Linked DNA regions of Canis lupus familiaris. The protein of the gene in region 2 purifies or fractionates together with the protein of the main gene of each other region. This does not show direct contact. Links are inferred from orthologs where the notes say so. Each region holds a gene or a part of one and is shown on either strand. Other genes may lie near its edges. The genes, in order: ANKRD54 and BTK.

Evidence for each region.
Region 1: the proteins of BTK (region 2) and ANKRD54 purify together in Homo sapiens (affinity purification with mass spectrometry; 4 studies listed by BioGRID and IntAct, counting the BioPlex papers as one, with this or other methods). This does not show direct contact. The link is inferred for Canis lupus familiaris from reciprocal best matches to the Homo sapiens genes BTK and ANKRD54.

Annotation. Positions count from the first base shown.
Region 1 is NC_049231.1:27,793,261-27,797,798, reverse strand, and holds the start of ANKRD54 (ankyrin repeat domain-containing protein 54), read right to left. Parts: upstream 2,952-4,538; 5' UTR 2,899-2,951; coding exon 2,577-2,898; intron 991-2,576; coding exon 943-990; intron 1-942. UniProt on the Homo sapiens protein: Plays an important role in regulating intracellular signaling events associated with erythroid terminal differentiation.
Region 2 is NC_049260.1:75,697,039-75,700,854, forward strand, and holds part of BTK (tyrosine-protein kinase BTK), read right to left. Parts: intron 3,786-3,816; coding exon 3,615-3,785; intron 3,090-3,614; coding exon 2,991-3,089; intron 127-2,990; exon of another isoform or gene 1-126. UniProt on the Homo sapiens protein: Non-receptor tyrosine kinase indispensable for B lymphocyte development, differentiation and signaling. Binding of antigen to the B-cell antigen receptor (BCR) triggers signaling that ultimately leads to B-cell activation.

The DNA.
Region 1 (4,538 bases), on a different chromosome or scaffold from region 2:
AAAAAAAATTTTTTTTTAAATTAAAAAAAAAAGAAATCTGTGCTATTAAAAAAATAATACAAATTCTTCAAAAAGAAATTTGGGTTGTTTTAAACCAGCATGTTTGTGGTAATTTGTTGCAGCAGACATAGAAAACTAATATATGGATATGATGAGAAGCTTTCCCCTAGGACTTGTCCTTGTACCTCTGATGCTGCTACTCCCATCAGCCAATGGACACTGGAGAGCAACCATGCACACAAAAAAAAACCAGGGTGGTGTCCTGCTAGGAGCCCCTCTCATTCCATTTGGGTGTTCCGTCAACTAAACAAGTTTGAGAACCATTGACCCAACTACTGCAAAGCCTCAGTGAGCATTGAAGGTGGTGGTTCTGTTCGGGTGGTGGCTCTTCTGGCAGTTAAAGTTGACTGTTCGTTCCCATTAACCAAAACTTCTAAAAAGCTCCTACCCTGCTGCTCGGTGCCAGAGATACAAAAGCAGACATGGTCCCCACATCAGGGAGCCCACAGACTGAAAAACACTATGACATCAGGAAGTTCAGAGTGACAGGGAAGCATGGGAAGAGTGAGCATCTGAGCAAGACTAATGGGACACCTGGGTGGCTCAGTGGTTTAGCGCCTGCCTTTGGCTCAGAGCCTGATCCCAGGATCAGGGATCAAGTCCCACATTGGGCTCCCTGCAAGGAGCCTGCTTCTCCCTCTGCCTATGTCTCTGCCTCTCTCTCTGTGTCTCTCATGAATAAATAAATAAATCTTAAAAAAAAATAAGCCAGACTTATCTCTTGTAAGATGAATACAGTTACATGATATATATAGTGAGCCTAGTCCAGGGTGTGAGCTGGCATACTGAATTCAAGCACTGTCTTCCCAGGAATTGGTTGCCTGGATTTTTCTTTTCTTTTCCTAACCAGCCGGTGGGGCCAGACCTGCTTTGCACACTCACCTGTTTCCACGTCATTGGCATTGGCTGAGTCCCTCAGCCTCTTCAGAGCTGTGAAGAGAGCAAGAGAGCTCCAGTTAAAAACAAAATAAAACAGGAGCACCTGGGTGGCTCAGTGGTTGAGTGTCTTCTTTCAGCTCAGGACGTGATCCCCAGGTCCTGGGATGGAGTCCCATATGGGGCTCCCCGCAGGGAGCCTGCTTCTCCCTCTGCCTGTGTCCCTGCCTCTCTCTCTGTGTGTCTCTCATGAATAAATAAATAAAATCTAAAAAAATAAATAAAACAGTCATGATGAAGCAGAGAGTGGATGGCTTCCTAGTTGATCCACCATTCACCCACAAGAACATCTAAAGGGAAGGAAAGGCACCAGGATACAAGAGACGCTACCCTGGGAACAAGAAAAACTTGAAATGTATCACAGCTACACAGTGCAAAAAGCCACTTTCTGTAGCAAATCCTTCAAGGTCTTTGGAGCCAGATCTTGGCTCTGGCACTTAAAGTAGCTGGGTGACCTTGAGCAAGTTAGTTAAACCTCCTGGGCCTCAGGTTTATCATCTGGGAAAAAAAAAAAAAAAAAAAAAAAAAGGTTGAGCCCTATCCTGACAGCCCCAAGTTGTTGCAATTATATTCTCCAAAAGAGGCCATTCCCAAATAACTGAGTTAAATTTGGTAATTCCGAAGCAGAAACGCTTTTCTCCTATAAGGACGCTACCTCTGTATTAGAGAACAATGCCTTTGTCATCGGAGGGATGGTCAAAATTGCAAGCAGATACATTTAATGATTCCTTACTTCTGTATAGCCCTTTATGCTTTACACAGCACGTTCAAATTTTCATTTAATCTTAACAGCATGACTTAGATAAGGGTGGAATCACAGATAGTCCTAGAAGGGACACTAACATTTCCATTCTTAAATCTTTCAAGGCATTGGTTTCCGCGTCATCCCCAAATGTAAAAGACAATAGAGCCCACACACGAGCAGGAGTTTGACCTGGCCCATGTGGGTTGATGCCAGCACAGCCACTTTCTAGCTACCGGGGGTTGGAGCAAGGCAATCTCTCCGAGCCTCAGTTTCCTCTTCCATATAATGGGAACAGTATCTGGATCTCACTGAGTTACTGTGAGGACTGGAAATGAACACATGCCGGCCCAACAGTGTTTGGCACACCACCAAAGCAGGATAACCTGTACTGATTCACCCCCTGACTTAACTCCGGCAACATCCCCGTAAAGCAAGTATTGTAGTGGTTTACACACGGAAAAACTAAGGCTGGAAGTTTCTATAGTTTGCCTAAGGCTTCGAGGTAGAGGAGTCCAATCCCAGTCCGTGCAGTTAAAGGAGTTGCCGGAGCTTGGCCACAGGCTCCGGCCTCCCCCCCTCTTTGACGCTAAAAGCGTTCGCCCCAACACCCCCCCCCCCGCCCTTCTTTTTTTAATCTACTAAGAAACGCCTGGAGTCCTGAAAAGTTTCTGTTCAGGAATCCCCGAGCGCTTAAAGGCCGTCCCCTCCAGGTTCGCGGTCCTCGGTGCTCGCGGTCGGCGCGGGCCCGGAGCTCAGCCGTCCGCGGACCCGGTCGCGAGCGGCCGCGGCAGTCGGGGCCCCCGGGGTCCCGCCGCGGTCCCGCCGCGCTGCTCACCGTGCACCTCCTTGCCCGTGGGCCCGAGCCGCCGGTGGGGCCTGGCGCGCCTCAGCCGCCCGGCGGGGATCTTACGGCGCAGCTCGTCGCGGGGCTCCGCGTCCTGCTGCCACAGGACGTGGAGGTAGCGCAGCGGGGACTGCGCCCCGCCGGACGCCCGGCCCGAGAGGCCCGCGCCGCCGCCCAGCGCCGACCCGAAGTCTGCGAAGGAGAAGAGGCCCTCGCGGCCCGTCAGCGGCTCCGGCGCCACGGCGCACTCGCCGTCCGAGCTCGAGCGGCCCGAGCGCGGCTCGTCGTCCGCGCCCCCGTCGGCGGCTGCCATGGCAACGGCTCTGCGCGGGCCTGGCCGCGGGAGCCTCGTTCCGGGCCGACCAACCGACCCGCTTCCTCCGCCCTAAGCCTCGCTGTCAGCGGGCGAGCGGGCGGGCCGGGCCCGCAACCACGGCAACCGGGAGGGGGCGGGCTCCCGCCGCCAACAGCCAATCGGGCGTGGTTCGGGCGAGAGAATTGGTTTCCGGCGGCGTAATTGACGGACAGAACAACCAATCGCAAATATTAACCGCCCACGCCCTCACCGTACGTCGCCACCGGAGCCAATAAAACAGCTGAGTTTAGGACACTTTTTTTCTCTCTCTCTCTCTCTCTCTCTCTTTTTTTTTTTTTTTAAACTCTCACCAACTTCCCGAAAGATAACGGGCAGATGCTTTAACCAATCACCTCAGGGGAGCTGCAGCCAATCACTGAGGAAAGCGAAGAAGCCGCCCTCCAGGGATAAACAGGGCTACATTTTAAATCGCGAACGAAAGAGGGGGGTCTTCCCGGTGGAAGTGCGTAGTGTAAGAAAGTAAGAATGTGTCAACGTTTGGGGCTCTTCCGCAAAGGGGGGAGTAATAGCTTCTGAAGCGGAACGATCCCTTTGGTGAGGGTTCCAGTCACTGACTTACGAAGAATTTTAATTCAACGTGACTGCCCCACAGCGACGCCGCAGTCGGCGAGCCGGTCACCGAGCCAGGAACCGTGTGTCCAGGGCGCAGGCTCAGCCCCGCCGCCCGCGCCGCCCGCGGTGATGCGCACAGCCCACGGGACACGCAGGGGCTCCGCGCGGCGGACCGGCCCCGCGACCCCTCTCACCACCCGGCCGCCCAGCAGGACGTCCATACGCTGGACGAGGAGCGGGAGGAGCGGACGCCGGACACCAGCGACTTGCGTGCGGATGCCGCGCGCCCCGGACCACGGCCTGGGTCCAGGCGAAAGTTCTTCCTTCTCCCTCAACCCACTAAAAATGTAATCTTTCCCCTGACAGTTGAAAAACACCTTCAGAATTTGCGGTGCTCTCGGAACACCACCGTGAGGTTTCTCGTGATACTGTGTGGAGAAAAGCGCTGTTTTATTTGATCTCTGCCCCACGTATGCCTACTCCCCTTGTGGTTACAAGGAAACCGAGGAAAGAAATGAACACCGAACACGCATCGCTTACCAACTGCTTGATGTATTTTATATGATTTCTCCCTCACAAGAACCTTAGCAGGTAGATGTTATTATACCCACTTTGCTCATCAGGAAATTGAGGTCTGGAGATGTTATATGAACCCATGTACAGGATTAGAAAGAACTGGGATTTGAGCCCCTCAAAGTCCTCTCTTTCCACCATACTGTTTTCTTTAATGAAGAGCCTGCTGGGAACCTAGTTCCAGAAAGCTTAAGGGACATCTGGGTGTTTATACCTTACTCCTGCTGAATGTATCTGGAAATAACTTTATTATTCATTCCGTGTAATAACCTCCAAAGTTGTCTTCATCCCTCCAGCCTCTCTTTGTAGAATTCAAGGTGCATATGCTGGCTAAGGTACAATTCTTTTTGTGTCTGTAGGATCTGCCTACCCAGGTTAAAGTGCAAACCCGTTATTCTAGCAGTCAGCCGTTGTCTTCCGCCTACTAGTGGGTCCGGTCTTCGAGCAATCTG
Region 2 (3,816 bases):
CCGAGATATGGAAGTAGCCAAAGTGTCCATCAATTAATGAATGGATAAAGAAGATATGTTAGGGGATCCCTGGGTGGCGCAGCGGTTTGGCCCAGGGCGCGATCCTGGGGACCCGGGATCGAATCCCATGTCGGGCTCCCGGTGCATGGAGCCTGCTTCTCCCTCTGCCTGTGTCTCTGCCTCTCTCTCTCTCTCTCTGTGTGACTATCACAAATAAATAAAAATTTTAAAAAATTTAAAAAAGATATGTTTTATATATATATATATATACACACATACACAATGGAATGTTATTCACTCATTAAAAAGAATGAAATCTTGCCATTTGCAATGACATGGATGGAGCTAGAGTATGATGCTAAATGAAATAAGACAGAGAAAGACAAATGCCATGTGATTTCACTCATATGTGGAATTTAAGAAACAAAACAAACAAGCAAAGGAAAAAAATGAGAAAGTCAAAGCAAGAAACAGGTTTTTAAGTATGGGGAACAATCTGAATGTTACCAGAGGGGATGCGTGTGTGTGTGTGTGTGTGTGTGGGGGGGTGTTGGGTTAAATAGGTGATGGAAATTAAGGAGCACACTTTTGATGACCACAGGTGATGTATGGAACTGTTGAATTACTATATTGTACACCTGAAACTAATATAATACTGCATGTTAAAAAACTAGAATTAAAATAAAAACTTAAAGCATAGTTATTGGTTGATGCATTGTTCTTTTTTGGATTTCCTTAGGTACTAGGAGTCCTTTGCAATCGCTCCAGAAGATTTTCCTGCACAGATAATATTAATTATTGTGGATTGTTTCCTTTAATCCAGTAGGCATACATATCATAGGATACATACATAGGATTCAGAACATACATGTTAAAAAAAAACCTCAGCCATTTCAAACCATTGAGGAAAGGGAGGTTACTCAATCAATGGTGCTGGGACAAATATTTAACCACTAGTTTTGGTGTGTGTGTGTGTGTATGTGGGGCAGTTAGGTGGCTATTTCACAGCATAAGCCAAAGTAAATTCTGAATGGATTCAAAAGTTTAATATAAAAATGGAACTATGAACGGACAGAGAAAAAAAACTGACCGTGTATATAATCTTATGGGAGACAAGACTTCCCAATATAATGCTAAAGGTTAGAATCATTAAGAAAAGATGAATTAATTTGATGACATAAATTTTAAAACCCAGAATGGTAACAATGAACAAGTAAAAAACATCATAAATAAAATTCAAAGATAAAAACTGGGAAAAATATTTTCAACATATATTACAGTTAAAGGATTAGTACTTTTAATATATCAAGATCTCTTAAAAAGTACTAGAAATAGGGTAAACATTCTAATGGAAAGATGGGCAAAAAAATGAACAGGCAGTTCACAAATAGAAAAATAGAACTGTAAGACATATAAACGTTCAACCTCATGGGCAACAAAAAATTGAAAAATAAGTCAGCAATGAAATACCACTTTTCTTGGCTGTCAAATTAACAAGCATTTAAAATATCTGATATTGGAAAGAATGTAGAGAAATAGAGATACTCTCATACATAGCTTATAGGAGTGTATGAAATTTAAATTATACTCCTATAAAATAAAATAGAATAAAAAGATAAACATAACCAAATTGTGCAGATCTAGTAAAGAGAAGAATAATATTTTACTTCTAGGAAGTTATTATAAGAAAAAGAATAGGAAAAGTACATAAAGATGTATGCAAGGATATTCTCAACATGTTTATAATATCAAGTTGGAAACAGATGTGTAGTAATAGGAGATTGGTTAAACAAATTGCAATATAAATCACGTTATTAAAATCACGTTATTAAAGAGTATCTATTGTCATGGGGAAAGTTTCCATATATCGTTAAATTGAGAAAGTAGATTACAAAGCAAGATGTGTAGTATGATTCTATGTTTTAAATATATACCATAGGGATGTCTGGCACACTCAGTCTAAAGAACATGTGACTCGATCTGAGAGTCCTGAGTTTGAGCCCTAAATTGGGTGTAGAGAGAGATTACTTTAATAAACTTTTTAAAAAGATTTATTTATTTCAGAGAGAAAGAGAATGCGAGTGGGAGGAGGGGTAGAGGGAGAGATTCTTCAAGCCAACTCCCTGCTGCAAGGGAAGCCATACACAGGGCTGGATCTCAGGATCCACGAGATCATGAGCGGAGCTGAAACCAAGAGTTAGATGCTTAACCAACTGAGCCACCCAGGTGCCCCTTGAGTAAATAAACTTTACAAAAATAAATATATAATATACTCTTAGTATGAATGTATGTGTTGCTAGTGGAGAAAAACATCTGTAAGTCTGTACACCAACATACAATAGTTATTTTAGCTGGATAATGGGATCATGCAAGATTTTATTTTCCTTATTGTGCTTTGTTGTATTTTCTAGAGTTTCTAAAATAATTACACATTACTCTTGTAATTAGGAAAAATAATAAATGACATTTTTTAAAAACTCGACTTAGAAATCTATAGCCATTATGCCTTGGAAAGGCTCTGGGAAATCAAAGGAGAATAAACAGTGAGTTGTTAAAGAATCTCATGACTCAGAGACCTAGAATTCTGGCTTTCAGACTAACTCAAGCCCATAAATCTGATCCTGGTATCTCAGAGAATAAAACCAATCATCTCTGATGAGTTTGAAAATTTCATATATTGGGGCTCTTGGGGGGCTCAGTTAGTGGAGCATGCAACTCTTCATCTCAGTGTTGTGAGGTTGAGCCCCACATGGGTTGTAGAGATTCCTTTAAAAAAATCATCGTAAAATTGGTGTTAGAATTTTCCAAGGTTAAGTGAGTTCTGCATCTGGGGGGAAAATGCTGAGATTCAGTATAACCCATATGTTCCAGAGTGAATAATTTTGTAAGGGAACTCTACCACATTGCATCACCAGTTTATTTATAGAGAGTTGAAGTGTTCCAAGTTTCTTAACCACCCCATTCCTGCTCTGACAATGGTCTCTACTTACTGGAATCTGTCTTTCAGGGGGAGGATTTTTTTCAGGAACCACTGTTTCAACGCAGGTGATCTTCTCAACATCTATTGAACCCTTCTTACTGCCTCTTCTCTGAGAAAGAGAATGAGGAACAAAATGGAGAAAGATTAGGAATGATTAAGCAACCAGATGATTAGATTTTGTTATCTAATCATTCAACATAGTGAGGTGACACCCACGTTCTATTCATCAGAACCTGTCATTTTGAAAAAAAAAATACAACAAAACTTCCAGATCTATTAATCTAAACTTTTTTGACTATCAGAGGGCAAATACTATAGAAGAGTGGATGACTGTGTGTGCCTTTACCATAAAAAATGAAGAATAATTTTCAAGACGTGGATTTCATTCTCAACAGCACTTAATGAATGATCAGTTGCAAGATTCCATGGTAAGATTGCCCCCATGGCTTCTTAGCACCTTTGAATTTTTTGTGCCAACATGGCTGTAGTTAGTTCTAGGCTAAGAAACATTTTTCTGAGTTTGAAATATACCTCGATCCCTACCACCTCCCTCCTCCAACCAAAAATATCTAGTCCTCAAGGAAGATCTAAGGCTAAGTCCTTGATATTCAGGTTTCACAGCAGAAAAACTTACCCCACGTTCAAAGTCATACTCATAGTAGGAAAGTTTGTGCATAGTTAAGAGAAAGAGGCGCTTCTTGAAGTTTAAAGGTGATGTTTTCTTTTTCTGTTGAGATCGCTTCAGAAAGATGCTCTCCAGTATCACTGCAGCCATAGCTTCTTCTTTCTGGAGCTCACTTGTGTGCTGTTGATAATGAAAGTTCTTGAGGACCCAG